Linked DNA regions of Lepisosteus oculatus. The protein of the gene in region 2 interacts with the protein of the main gene of each other region in a pairwise test. Links are inferred from orthologs where the notes say so. Each region holds a gene or a part of one and is shown on either strand. Other genes may lie near its edges.

Evidence for each region.
Region 1: the proteins of rint1 (region 2) and ribc1 interact in binary tests that used the Homo sapiens proteins (3 or more experiments, as listed by UniProt). The two-hybrid records come from large-scale screens. The link is inferred for Lepisosteus oculatus from reciprocal best matches to the Homo sapiens genes RINT1 and RIBC1.

Annotation. Positions count from the first base shown.
Region 1 is NC_090697.1:74,708,684-74,716,422, reverse strand, and holds the start of ribc1 (RIB43A-like with coiled-coils protein 1), read right to left. Parts: upstream 3,002-7,739; 5' UTR 2,749-3,001; intron 2,642-2,748; exon of another isoform or gene 2,485-2,641; intron 1,470-2,484; 5' UTR 1,444-1,469; coding exon 1,245-1,443; intron 565-1,244; coding exon 335-564; intron 1-334. Other genes in the region: structural maintenance of chromosomes protein 1A, read left to right, coding at 3,288-3,396, 5,426-5,614, 6,118-6,230, 6,600-6,803, 7,592-7,739.
Region 2 is NC_090702.1:48,097,518-48,104,422, reverse strand, and holds the start of rint1 (RAD50-interacting protein 1), read left to right. Parts: upstream 1-3,890; 5' UTR 3,891-3,940; coding exon 3,941-4,162; intron 4,163-6,670; coding exon 6,671-6,905. UniProt on the Homo sapiens protein: Involved in regulation of membrane traffic between the Golgi and the endoplasmic reticulum (ER); the function is proposed to depend on its association in the NRZ complex which is believed to play a role in SNARE assembly at the ER.

The DNA of each region.
Region 1 (7,739 bases), on a different chromosome or scaffold from region 2:
GACACACAGAGCACTGAGAATATTCACACAGAGCACCGAGGATACTGACACACAGAGCACTGAGAATATTCACACAGAGCACCGAGGATACTGACACACAGAGCACTGAGGATACTGACAAACACAGAGCCCTACAAATTCTGACACATACAGAAAGCACTGGGACTATTGACACACAGCACTAAAAACAGAGACACAGACCAGCACCAGGAGCTGGATGTGTTGTGCTAATGACATGATTGCAAGGCTCTTTTCTGTCTTTGTCTTTCTCTGTTTCTTTGAGTGAGTGTCTCTGCCTAAATGTTTTTCTGTGCTGTCTTTATGCATGGCTGACCTCGAATCTTTGCATGCTGGCTGGCCCATACTGGGCATCAGGGTCGGTGAGACCGGCAGGGGAATCGCTGTGTATTGCACGAGGGTCATTAAGGTCAAAGTCCCGAGAGTCTTTGGGGCACTGCTGGGTTGCCCGAAACTCCTGTAGCTCCCGGGCCAGCTGGGCACGAGTCTCTTGTTCCTCCTGCTGACCCTGAACAAACACTGCATCCTGGGCAAGGCTGAGTGCATCTGAGAGAGGCAGAAGGGTTAATACACACACTGCTGTACACAACACTGCACTGAGACAGAGGGGTTAATATACACACTGCTGTACACACACACTGCACTGAGACAGAGGGGTTAGTACACACACTGCTGTACACACACACTGCACTGAGACAGAGGGGTTAGTACACACACTGCACTGAGACAGAGGGGTTAATACACACACTGCTGTACACACACACTGCACTGAGACAGAGGGGTTAGTACACACACTGCACTGAGACAGAGGGGTTAATACACACACTGCACTGAGACAGAGGGGTTAGTACACACACTGCTGTACACACACACTGCACTGAGACAGAGGGGTTAATACACACACTGCTGTACACACACACTGCACTGAGACAGAGGGGTTAATACACACACTGCTGTACACACACACTGCACTGAGACAGAGGGGTTAATACACACACTGCTGTACACAACACTGCACTGAGACAGAGGGGTTAATACACACACTGCTGTACACACACTGAGACAGAGGGGTTAATACACACACTGCTGTACACACACACTGCACTGAGACAGAGGGGTTAATACACACACTGCACTGAGGCAGAGGGGTTAACACACACACTGCTGTAGAGGGTGACAGTGACACTCAGCCAGGTGGGGGTGTGACCTATGACCCTGTCTCTCACCGAAGGCGCGGTCCCTCCGTCTCTCCGCCTCCTCCAGGACCCGGCGCTCCTCCACCTGCCTCTCCAGCCCCGGGAGGTCCACCCCCAGGGTCCGGACCCGCGGGTTAAACACCCGGCTCCGCCGCTGCGCCTCCGCCAGCCGCCGGCGCTCCACCGCCGCCGCGAGGGCGCCATCTACAGGCAGGTCTACTTTATACATCCCGCGACACTGCACTGCCACACACACTGAAGAAAAACAATAACATCAGAACAGCATAAATAATAATTATCCTTACACTTACATACATCGTAAGGATTCGACATAAAAGTGTGAGGACTGTTATTATATATTTACTCATTAAGTATATATTATATATAGTGCTTTTCTGGACATGTTTACATTCATGTTTTGTGCTGCTCTGCATAAAGTTCTGGTGATACTCGTGTCTCAGTCCTGAAACAACAGTAATAATAACTCCCTACACTTATATAGCGCTTTTTCTGACACTCCACACAAAGCGCTGTACAGGTAATGGGGACCAGTGTGCAGCCCCACCTGGACGATGCTCCAGTCCTCTCCCCACACACCAGCTCTCAGTGGGGAGGAGAGCAGAGTGACGAAGCCAGTTCAAAGGGGCTTATTAGGAGGCCTTGATAGGTAATGTTGAGGGGGAGATTTGGCCCCAACACTGGGGTGAGCACCCCTACTCTTTTTGAGAAACGCCCTGGTCCCTGATTTCACACATTAGCATCCAGTGACGTTGGCATGGACGCTCTCCCTGGGCGTGGGACAGGGCTGTCTGTACGCTGCAGGGGACGGCCACTGTCCTGTGACACTTCAGTCTCACTGCAGCAATGGAATATCTGTGGAGTGGACCTGGGCACTTTAACGCCCGGTCCAGAGCTGCGTGCTGTCTGGCCTTCAGCAGAGAAGACAGACCCGTCACTCCCTAAGAACGTGCTCTTGGCCTCCTGACAAGACAGTAGTCAAGACAGTGCTGCTCTGGGGTCAGTCAGTCCTGGGCTGAGGGAGTGGACCCTCTGTATTCCGCCCAGACTACATGAGCAACCGATACAAGTAGTCGAAGTTCTCTAAGGCAGCTACAGTCAACATAGTGGATTTCCCTCTGCTTTACTTTAATGAAAATTAGAATTGATCCGTGTGTAGAAGCAGAGGAGCTGAGAACGGAATCTTTATTCTGGAATCCGAGAATTTAGTAAGTTTACTGCATAGTGTCTCTCCCGGACCCACGCTTGCTACCTGTGTGGTCTGCATCTGTATCTCTGCGACGAATATAGGTTTTCGTCCAAATTCATCTGCTCAAGGGAGCCTTGTTTTCCAATATTGCGGTGAGATTCTGTTTCGCAAGTTATCTTTGTTATAAACAGCTGTACAGCAACCCCACTGCAGTCTGCTTCAAGGCGACACACCGCCGTGATCCAAGCCAAGTCTAACAGAGGTTTATAGATGGGTTGGTTTGCATTTGTTATCTGCTAGAAGAAAGAAAAAAAACACTTATCTTACCAGGGTTTTGGCTGCGTTTGCGCCAGGTAGCTCCTTCCACTAATGTGTGCCCAGAGCAAATTCCAATTGATTTGTTTCTAGTCAGCCGCTTGGGGTTCCTATGGAAACGAGAATCCACCACTCGCCCTGTAATGTGCCCTCACTCCCATTTAAGTCGACTGAAGGTGGTGCCCAAAAGGAAGATGGCCGGCCTTGGCGTCGCACGTCTTGCGTGTGGTTTGGACGTATGCGTGCTTGCCCGCGTGAGCTCGCGAGAGCAGGGGTGGCGCTGCTGTTTGTTTTTACTCCGGTTGCGCGCGCGCTCCGGCAGTAATTGTTTTCATTTAGGTTTTTGAAATATAATTTAATGAAAAAAAATCATTTTAGTGATAGATATATAAAATCTAAAGAAGGAGATATCGTATCTCCTAAGAAATAAAGCTATTGGTTGCGCAGGAGAGAGGGGGCGGTTAACGCTGTATGTGAGAGTACATTTTACAGATAAACATTTGAACCAGGAATACGGACGTTGAAATTCGTTTGCACAAACGTTTTTAAAAATGGGGTATTTAAAACTGATAGAGATCGAAAACTTCAAGTCTTACAAAGGACGCCAGATCATCGGGCCCTTCCACAAGTTCACAGCCATCATCGGCCCCAATGGATCGGGTAAGGGCGCACAGTCGGCGGCGTTCAGGCGGGGCTTGGCCGTCTCAGGGCGGCCGGAGAGCGGACCCAGCCGCTACTCGAGGCCGGGGGTGGAGTAGGCCTCCGTTTCTGCATGGCGGGTTTATGAAGGGACGAATTCCTGCACGGTTTCTGGTTGTATTGCATATGAAGCCCGGTTTCATTTCTGTAGCCGGGCCGTTCTGCAGACACCCGAGTGTGAATCGCTTATTTGTGCGTGATGCGCTTGTCTTGGGACGCGCAGGGATTTCCAGAGGGGCTGTCAGTGCGGGGCTTCTGTCAGTCTGCGGGCTGGCTGCGGGGAGCTGAGGCGCCGCTCGTCGGCGGCAGGAGAGGCGCTGTCTGCACTCTTGCCGGGCCGCGGGGTGAGCCGCCGAGTAACCGGGCTTGTCCGACCTCGCCGGTAGATCCTGTCGCTCTGCAGACATGCCTGTCCTGTACCCCCGCGTCATCTGGCTGTGTGAGCACACACGTGTGTGTGTGTCCGTCTCGGCAGGACGCAGTCCTCGGCACTCTTCATAACGCAACGACGTAACTCCCTTTTACAAATGCAGCTTCTCTGTAGGGATGCAAGAACCCGTTTTAACAGACCTGTTCGGTGTTTTTGAGTGTACGCCGTCCTGTTTTCACAGTTACTGGAATTATTGAAAACGGGAGCCGTAGTTCTTGTATAAAGTATGTACCGCTAATCACCTGAGTGTTGTCGGTGTGTCTCTTTCGACAAAGAAAGATGCACAAGGCGTGTTTGCTTTTTCTGCCTCTTTGTTCAGCTTTAATTCACCCGGTGGAGGTACAGTGTTCACCTTAGGAAATTAAGGATTACCTAGCAAATGCATTAAATACACGAGATTCTAGCGACTAGAAGGCAGACGTACTCGCAGAGACAGGCGTGCAGTCCCTCCCTGTGTGATTCGATATCCCTTTCGCTGTGAAGTGTGAACCACACGGTCAACAAGCTGTTGCATATAAATCACTTTAACCAAAATCGCCACCATCGCGCTCACGGTAGGCTGTACCGAGCCCGTGCCCGGGCAGACGGACTAATCGAGAGTCCCCACAAGAGAGAAGAGGAGAGACTGCGGGGACGATACGGATAGAGACTCCCAGTGGGGTGCTGGATATGGCAGACAGCAGCTGCACCCAGGATGAAAGCGACCTGGTATGGCCAACCGAGAGCAGTGGGCTCTCTTCCACGCAGGGGGCTCTCCACACTGGGAGCTCTGCTCTGGCAGCTAAAGCCTGAGATTTGAGGCCGTGTTGGCTATCTGGAAAGCTGTCTGTCTGAGATTTTTTCCAGAAGATGCATTGCATTGCATTGCGTGCCCAGTCTGTTTGAGGGGATCCCATTAGGGGGGGGGGGAGGACTCAAATGCTGTAAGTTTATCCACACCTGAGATCCGTGAGGCTTGAGGTTCACTAACTGGGGCGACGACTGCAGTGGAACGTGGGAACGGTGACCAATGAGAGGAGGCCATTTGGACCAGCTGTGGCTGCTTGGTAGTTCATTGCCAATTGATGTCTTCCAGCTGTTCCGTGAAAGAAGCCAGAGTATCAGCTTTAACAACATGGCTGGGCAGCGTGTTCCCTGCTCCCACAGCCCTTTGTGTCATGAAATGTTTCCTATTCTTTGCCCTAAATAAATGCCCTTTATAAGCTCACTTGGTACCTGAGTGTTAAGTTGCTTCTCTGTTTAATGTTGATTTGTTCCTAATCCCAGCTCTCAGGAAAATGTGCCATTGAGTTGCTCATCACAGAGTGGAAGTTGATAAGATGGGTTGAATGGCCTCCTCTCGTGTGCAGGCTTCCTTCTGCTCCTCTCTGTGTCTGTGTGCAGTTGCACTGTCCAGGCCGATGTGCAGTAATTCAGCCCCGATGAGGCCGTCGGTTGTCGTTTCCTGCTCTGGATTGAGCCGGGGTGAAGTGCCCAGTCTTTACAATGGGGCCAGGCAGAGTGGCCCGTCGACCCCTGACCCCTGGGCTTCCTTCACCGTGTAACCCTCCCCCCCCGCAGGGAAGTCGAACCTGATGGACGCCATCAGCTTCGTGCTGGCGGAGAAGACCAGCAACCTGCGCGTGAAGACGCTGAAGGACCTGATCCACGGGGCGCCCGTGGGCAAGCCGGCTGCCAACCGGGCCTACGTCAGCATGGTGTACTGCGAGGACAGCGGCGAGGAGAGGAGCTTCACCAGAGTCATCATCGGTACGCCCGTGTCTTTAGAGGGAGGCGCCACGCCGCCGCGTCTGAGGGCGCGAGGGGAGAGGAGCTACAGCAGGGTCATCATCGGCACGGTGCCCGGTGCTCTGCCTGAGTGCCCGCACTGCCTTATAGCTTGCGGTCATGGCGCCTTGAAGTAGCTGGTGATCTGTCACGCGCACATTCGCAGCAAGAAGCAAATAGAAGTCGGTAGATAATCTGAACGAAAGTTGCCCAGGTATTCAGACTCGGTGCTGTGGCGCACCTGGATGACCTAAATGAGCCACACAGCGGAGTGGCCTCTGTGTGTGCAATAGTAGTGTTCACAGGGTTTCACGACGCACTCCTCTGCCGATGGGTACGGGCGTGTTCGGGAAAAGCGGCGCTCTCCCAGCTGCCGGCCTGAGCGCGGGCGGGGCGGTTCCGGAAGCGAGGCGGGGCCGCAGTGTTTCGTGCTCCTCCTCACCACCTCCTGTGCCTCTCCCCCCTCCCCCCTCCCCGCTCCGCAGGCTCCTCCTCGGAGTACCGCATCAACAGCAAGGTGGTGGGCCTGTCGGAGTACAGCGAGGAGCTGGAGAAGCTGGGCATTCTCATCAAGGCCAGAAACTTCCTCGTCTTCCAGGTACCCTTGACGGCGTCGCCCGTCCTGCCGGCCTCCGAATCTAGTGCTCCAGATCGACTGCCCCCCCCCAAGACCAGAGCCTGGGGTGGCCTGATGCAGTTGTTGGGTACCAGGCAGGTCATTCAGGGGACCCAGGGACACCCCACCTTGCTCCTTTTCTGGTCGTGGTGCGGGAGGCTGCCATATGTCGATTGCTGGGTGGAGTTGCATTCGTGTTGAAAGCATCAGCTGTTGGTTCTCGGTTTCTTCTTGTTGTAAAGAAGAAGGCACCACTGTTGCTTCAGTCGCAGTCCGGAGATTGTGAATATCGGATTCTGAGCTGTTCAAGGGACCAGGCGTGACCCCCCCCCCCCTCCCTTCCTCGCACAGGGCGCGGTGGAGTCCATCGCCATGAAGAACCCGAAGGAGCGCACGGCCCTGTTCGAGGAGATCTCGCGCTCGGGCGAGCTGGCGCAGGAGTACGACAAGAGGAAGAAGGAGATGGTGAAGGCCGAGGAGGACACGCAGTTCAACTACCACCGCAAGAAGAACATCGCCGCCGAGCGCAAGGAGGCCAAGCAGGAGAAGGAGGAGGTTGGAGTGCCGGGCACTGCGTTATACACCGGAGGTCCCATAGGGATCCCTATACAAGAGGGGGTTCAGCTCTGGGACTCGGAAATGCAGGCTAAACTCTCACAGAAGTATTGTGGGACATGTATTATTCTCCTTAACACAGTAAAAGTACATCATGAAGCAAAAGTAATTCTTAGGGAATATATACATGCAATACAACAAAAAGAAATAATGTACAGACTAATCTTACTGTTTTTGAGCTCTTCTTTGTGGCACTATACTATATATACTATACAGTCTTCTAATGTACAGCTTTATTAATTATCCGTCTTCTCTCATTCCTTTTCTCTTATTTCTGTCCCCCTTTCTGTCCACACTCTGTTTATATCGCGCCCTCTACCCATCTCCCTGTCTGATCCCACTCCATCTCTGTCCTTCTCTCTTTCTCTGTGTTCGTCTGTCTCTCCTGTCTGTTCCTTCTTCTCTTCACACTCTCTCCCTGTCTCTCTCTCTCTCACTGCTGCTACATATCCCTCTGCCTGATCCTCCTGTTTCTCTTCTTCTCACTCCGTTCATCTGTCTCCCGTGTCTTTTCCGTCTTCTCTTCTCTCTTTCTCTCTCTCTCACTGCCTCTACCTATCCCTCTGCCTGACCCCCCTCTGTCTGTCCTTCTCTCTTTCTGTCTCTCTCTCACTGCCTCTACCTGACCCCCCTCTGTCTCTGTCCTTCTCTCTCTCTCTCGCCCATCATCTTCTCTCCTGTCTGTTCCTCCTGCTCTGCGCTCTTTCTGCCTCTGCCCCTGCCCCCAGGCGGAGCGGTACCAGCGCCTGAAGGACGAGGTGGTGCGGGCCCACGTGCAGCTGCAGCTGTTCAAGCTGTACCACAACGAGGCGGAGATCGACAAGCTGAACCGCGAGCTGGCGCAGCGCAACCGCGAGATCGACAAGGACCGCAAGA
Region 2 (6,905 bases):
CTGCGTGATTGTGCGGCTGTCCAGCTGTGCACAAGTTGCTGCTGCTCCTGTATATATGTACAGCCGCGTCTGTTGCGTGTGTGTGTTTTGCAGTGCTGTGGTCTGGCCACACCTAGGGGTCAAGGGTCAGGACAGACACACTGCCCAGCAGGCCTGCACACGGACGGCCGCCCCTCTGAGCAGTGTTTTTAAACGAGAGAGGAGAATATTGCACAAGGGCAAGTTTTTATTTTTTACTTTTTTTTTAAGTGTTACAATTTAAGGCGAAAGCAGGGGAAGTGAAATCGTTTTACTTTACAGCACTAGTGAGAGCAGGGAGGTGGCGATTAGACTCTACTGACTCTCTGTGCCAAGCAGTTTCTAACAGCCCTGGGATCTGTGCAGGGAGGTATTTTTTCTCATTTGTAGCCCCCTGGTTATGTTCTATTTTATACTCTCATTTGAAATTGCCCGTTGTTTAAGAGCTCTGCTGAAAAAGCCGCACAGTGGAGAATGAGAGTAGGTGTACGTGCCCGCCCATCGGAGCCTTTCATCTTGTGACGCATGGCGAGCCCCACTCCCTGACAGCAGTGCTTCCCAAACTGGTCCCATGTGGAATCGGAAGAGATTGTTTAAAGATCTGTGTTTTTGTGTGGCTTTTCCCAGCATTGAACCGAAGGGGTAAACAGTTCTGTCCCTTGAAACAAACTCAGATCATCACATCAGGCTTCTAGTCCAAAAAAGTGAACTGTGATATTTCTCATCACAGCTATAGTCTGTTAATGGCACCCAGCCCTGCTCCTGAAGGAACAGTCTTTGCTCCAGTGCTGATCGATGACTTAATTGATCTGCTTTCTTGTTTAGACTTTCATTGAACTTGTTTCATCTGTAAGTCCTGTGTGTCAAAATTTCCCGAATTCAAGGTTACCACTCCCAACACGTTCAGCATGTAGAACGCTGTGCCGCCTCTCCTCACCTTACAGAGTGAACAGCTCTTGGTAGCCGATCAGCTGCTGGTGAGCAGGTAGAGGTGGGAATGACGCAATGAGCGCTTCTCCTTCTGCACAAGTCTGATCAGTTACATTTCAGGGAGCGCTGCTGGAGGAGGGCAGCTCTGCAGCTCAGAAACTGGTACAGAGCAGATGACAAATACAAGCCCCGATCGACCTTTTAAGAGCTGCAGGTGAATTTACAAAATAGGTAACTGAGATCGGTGAGCCTGTGATTAATTACTCAGCTGCAATAAATAGAGGTACAGTTCTTCTAGGGCCAGGGTTAGGAACCACTGCTCTATGTTGAGAGTTTAAAATAATTAACTCTGGCAATATGGGTGCATTTTATTTAACGTTAAAAGCGTGCCGTGATCTGAAGAGGTTTGGGAAGCACTGCCTCTGGTGGAGAAGCTCCTAGCAGACGCCAGGGAGCGAGATGAAATCGGACCCTGGTACTCTCCCGGTCAGGTGTGTCCTGGTCACGGCCGGCTGGTGACTGCAGCCCACTCCGTCTGGGACGGCCACACCCTGCTGCTCGGCTTCACACACTGTGCCTGAGCCGCCCCGCTGGGCCGCCGCCGCCATTGTTTTAAACTGGACACCTGTATGGATGATGACTTCCTCGAAGAATAAAATGGCCGATACAAGAGTCTGTGTCGTTGTGTGGATCGAACGGCGGTGGGGGGTGGGGGGTTACTCCCGTGCGTAATTTAAAATCGTGTACCGGATATAAAATACATCACTTATGGATCCAACACGTTTACAGCCATATCGGGGAAGATATTTTTTGTAATAAGTACTTTGAATTGTATTGAAAAGACGTGACCTAAAATACATTGCCTGTAGGTGTGACAAATTCACGACATTATCAGGACAGTTTGTATAGCGGATACCCAGGTCAGGCTAGTAGCATGTGTGGCCACTGTGGGAGGAAGTACAAGCTGTACGTCTGGGACTCGTGACTTGTACCAGGTTGCAGATGCTGTGATGTGGGATTCTGTCCCTTTCCTCTCCTACTGCCTGGAGCCTGTGCCTGGTCACTGGTCTCTGAGCCCTAGATGTCACATCACCCCAGCTCATCCCAGAAATGTTTGATGGGGCTCACATCAGGATAGTAGGGATTCCACAGTATAACAGCCAGGTTCCTGTCAGTCCCTGCCTGTGGAGTTCTGTAGTGAGTGGACACTTCTGCCCAGTGTACACAACCACCGTCACATCTGTAACATCAATCGGGGTGGTCGACGCAGAGCGATGCTTCATCTCTGAAGAGGCCTTGGCTCAAGGGCTCTCTCCCCCTTTACTCTGATGAGCATTAGGCCTCTGTGTGATTGTCTGGCCTGCAGACAGTGGCTGCTCAGCTGCCCCCACAGCTGAGAACTGTAACGGACTGCAAGTCCAGTGGCAGTTTGAGATGACGGTGCATGATGTCGGTTCTGGCGAGGTATCGCGACTCGTGCTTTCCCAGATCAGTCCCTGTCAGTGCTGTTACGTGTTGTAACATCTTGCCAGATTTCGGAATAGTCGAGCCTTTCACATTCTGACGGCACAAAGACATTGTTCTCTTCGTCTGCTGGACAGATTCTGGGGTGTTCTTTCTTGATCCCTCAGGGTAATCCTTGAACAGGTTGAATCGCCTCATCCCCTGTGCTCGGTCAGCTCTAATGAAGTGATTCAGCGACTACACAACCGTCAAAATGACTTCCACAGTCAATCATGAATGATCAATTCATAAAACCGAAACTACAAACAACTTCTATATGGGCAACCTTTCAAACAGCTGAAATACTTCTGTTTTATTTTCCTAAAACATGTATGTACGGTGATTTTTCCACTCTGGTTATTGCCTTATAAAAGGGCAATAATACAGTGATGTTCCCTGAGCTCAGGACCTGCGTGGCATGGGCTTGGATGGTGCTAGGCTGTCTGCTTTGATCTGTTCCTGTGGTTTCTGGGAGAGGACGATGGGTGGTCAGAAAAAGAGGAGAACCCTGTTAGAAGTAGGGCCTTGCTCACTTTCCACAGTCAGACTGGTCATTTGTAATGCAATGGTCCAGCAGGAACGGTCAGCAGGCATGTGTGAGAGCTGTTCCTCAGGTCAGTCTGTCCACATGTCTTAAACAAGTCTGTCCAGCCTTCCCGAAGGGAAGATTCAGCAGGGGACAAGCAACGGCGGGCTAGTGGGAATGAGCTCTTCATGAAGCTCAGATTTTTTTACTGTAAACTTATGGCGCCATTTTGCATCCTATATTATTGTTGGGCATTTTTTCAGGTGCTTTTATCCAGAGGCGTTTGGAGAGAACGTCGCCTGGATACAGTCATAGCCGAAGTGCTCTGCTCCAGCTGCACGTTACAAAGGCTGTGTAAGGTTTCCACTGTGATGGTGGAATCCTTCTCTGCCATCACAGAAAAGGGTTGCTGTGCATGGCCAAGTCAAACCTGACTGAGTCCAGGCTTTGGGGTTTTACTGCCTCTGCATCATCCCCGGAAATATTTTCTTGTCTGCAGGATGGAGAGCAGACAGGCCATTCAACCCATCTTGTTTGTTATATAGAAGCTAGTAGCAACACCTGATTCAATAATTCAAAATCCTCAAAGACACTGACAAAAGTCAGCACTGAAGCACAAACCTATGTGGAAGAGCATTTAAAACCGAGAACAGGGGGCACTTCTTTACCCAGAGGGTTGTGGAACAATGTTGCTTCGGCCATGTTGCTGAAGCTGATACTCTTACTTCCAAGAAGCAGCTGGATGAGATCCTGGGATCAATTAATTAGGTACTAAATTCCAAACGTGTTAGACAGGTCAAACGCGCCTCGTTTGTCACCTACGTGCTGATGAAACAAAACAAACTGAAGGGCATCTCTCGGGCTGGGGAGCGCCTGCAATGCCTCTGGCTGCCACAAGAGGGCGCCGACCCCCCGCTTGCTGCTGACGTGGAGACGGGCCGAGAAGGACGCTTGCGAGTAAATATGGCGGCGCCCACGAGCGAGCGGGGCTGTTCCAGAAGCGGCGGTCTACCCGGTTCGGGAAACCCGGACAGCAGTCCGGGGTCCAGGGAGGAGGAGGACGGCATCCCGGAGCACGTCACCCAATATGTGGAGAGCGAGATCGGCGGGGATCTGAAGTCCCTGAGGAAAGTGAGGGCCCTGCTGGAGAGCCTGCTGGCGGAAAACAAGCTTCTGGAGGAGCAGGTAGGGCAGCCGGTGGGCGACACGGGTGACGGGGGCTCGGGGTGGGTCAATGGCAGTCCGTCTGCAGCGCTGTCCGCCCCGAAGAGGATAAAAGGACGGGACCGGCGCAGGGCATTCATTATAATACGGCCAGTATAAAGTGTAGCTCAGCCCGTTATTACTGAGAGACCAGTAACCAGTGGCTGTTTGTTACTGCTATACGCCCGGGTCGACGCCCCTGGTCCCTCTCGGGTCCTAGTGTAAGAAACGGGTAATTATTAATAACAACAACTCATCATAATGCCGGAGAAGCTGTCGGAATAACCGGGGCACAGAGCCGACACGGTCGCGCTTTGCTGATCCTCGTTGTACATGAGGCTCTTCACGCCCGCTATGAGCTGCAGCACAAGGAGGGGAAAAGTGCCTGAAATCCTAATAAGCAGGGAAACGACAGAGAACCGGCCCGCAGACTGGGGTTTGAAGTGTACGAGCCGAGTCCGCAGAGACACACGGACAGTCCACACGCCAGTGTGTGTGTGTGAGAGAGAGAAGTTTTCTGTGTGTGTTTGCGTCCCCGTTAGCGCTCCGCCGGTGAGCGCTTTGGCACATCGGGGTGCGATTGTCATGCACATCATTTCGGGCACAAAAGAAAACGTCCTTTGCATAAAGTCCAGCCGAGACGTGGGAAAGCGCCGCTTTCATGCAGCCCGGCTCGGCCTCTGCCGGGAGTTGTGCCAGATGAGGAGGGGTCTGTGGGGCGGTTGCCCTGCGCAAGACCTCATGCGGAGCAGGTGACATCAGTCTGAGCGGTGGGTGTGAAGAAGTCCTCGCTCTTCCGGCGATGGGTTGAAAATATTGCGATCTCTTCCCCCTGATGAGCTCGGCCCCTGGGCAGCCCTGTTCTGTGCAGGGGGCTCAGTTTCCCACCGAGACCTTGAATCAGGGCGACTCGCACAGACAGGCACTCAGGTTCGCTGAGCTTGAACGATGCCTGAACGATGAATTACTGCAACAATAAGCAAGGCATTAATGTTTACACTTATATAGCGCTTTTCTGGACACTCCACTCAAAGCGTTTTACAGGTTAATGGGGGCTCACCTCCACCACCACCAGTGTGTAGCCCCACCTGGATGATATGACGGCAGCCATAGTGCACCAGTACACTTCCCACACACCAGCTCTCAGTGGGGAGGACAACAGAGTGACAAAGCCAGTTCAGAGATGGGGATTATTAGGAGGCAATGATTGGTAAGGACCAATGGGACATTTGGCCAGGAAGCCAGGGTTACACCCCTGCTTTCTTCGAGAAACGCCCTGGGATTTTTAATGACCACAGAGAGTCAGGACCTCGGTTTTATGTCTCATCCGAAGTATCGTCACTATACTGGGGCATTAGGACCCACATGGACCGCAGGGTGAGCGCCCCCTGCTGGCCCCACTAACATGTCTTCCAGCAGCAACCTTAGTTTTTCCCAGGAGTCTCCCATCCAGGTACTGACCAGGCTCACACCTGCTGAGCTTCAGTGGGCTGCCAGGTGTGAGTTGCAGGGTGACATGGCTGCTGGCCATAATTTGGGATGCTCACTCTGTTCCTCAGGCTGTGACAGGAGATCACATACTGGGCTGCAGCTCTATTGAAGCTGTTCCCATTCTGGCAGGAGTGGGCATTCTGGAATTAGATGTCGTAATTTAGGGAAGAACATTGGCCTAATCCCTGAGAATTTTTTGCAGTGCAGCAGAAACTTTTTCTCTGTCCCTATGTCTCCCAACTGGCAGTGGGAGCACAGCCTGTCCTCTTTTAGCAGTGAGGTCTGCCTGTGTCCAGTTTCCATGGGCAGGCTGTGGTCACTGAGTCTGTCCTCTCTGGGCAGTCAGGTCTGTGTCCAGTTTCCATGTCCAGGCTGTGGTCACTGAGCCTGTCCTCTCTGGGCAGTCAGGTCTGTGTCCAGTTTCCATGTCCAGGCTGTGGTCACTGAGCCTGTCCTTTGTCAGAATCTGTTTCTCCTTGTCCCATGCCAGTTTGTGTTGTTTGTGTGTGTCCTGATGGGAGAGGCGGTGTTGTGTGGTCACTGCGTAATCTGTGTACTATTGGGGTACAGCTCCCCTCCATTGTGGACATTTTTAAAACTCGCTGTCTCAAGAAGGCTGCAGGTATCACTTACGTCAACAATCATCCCGGTTTCTCATCTGTCTCCCCCCTTCCCTCTGGTAAGTGTTATAGGAGCATAAAGGCTTATACGTCCAGATCCAGACGTACAGTTTCTTCCCACAAGCTGTCAGGTTACTGAACTCTGCCCCTGCCGCTGGCTCACACTGATGGCCTTTTTTTTGTCTTTTCTTCTCACCCTGCTTGTCTGACTTGTTTTTTTTAAGTTATATGTTATTTAACTTGTTGTTGTTCTGTGTTTCTGTTTTTTGGTTTCCTTAATGTCTTCGTACTGGAGTGTACATGCAGATAAGCGTGTCATTGTGCCTGTGCTCATGACGCGTACACGGACACGTACCTGGTCTGCTCTCCCCTGCTGCAGGTGCTGACCGTGTCCAGCACCGTGCCCCTCCGCGTGTCGGCGGCGCTGTCCGCGGCGGAGCAGGCCCAGGACTCCCTGCGCCACCTGCTCTGCAGAGAGAGGGCGCTGTCCAACACGCTGCACCAGCACCTGCAGGGGGCGCAGTGCTGGGCCGACCGGCTGGGGCCGCCCCTGGGGACGCTGGACCTCACTGCCAGGCACCTGAGCTACCTGAGGTGTCTGGGCCGCATCGAGG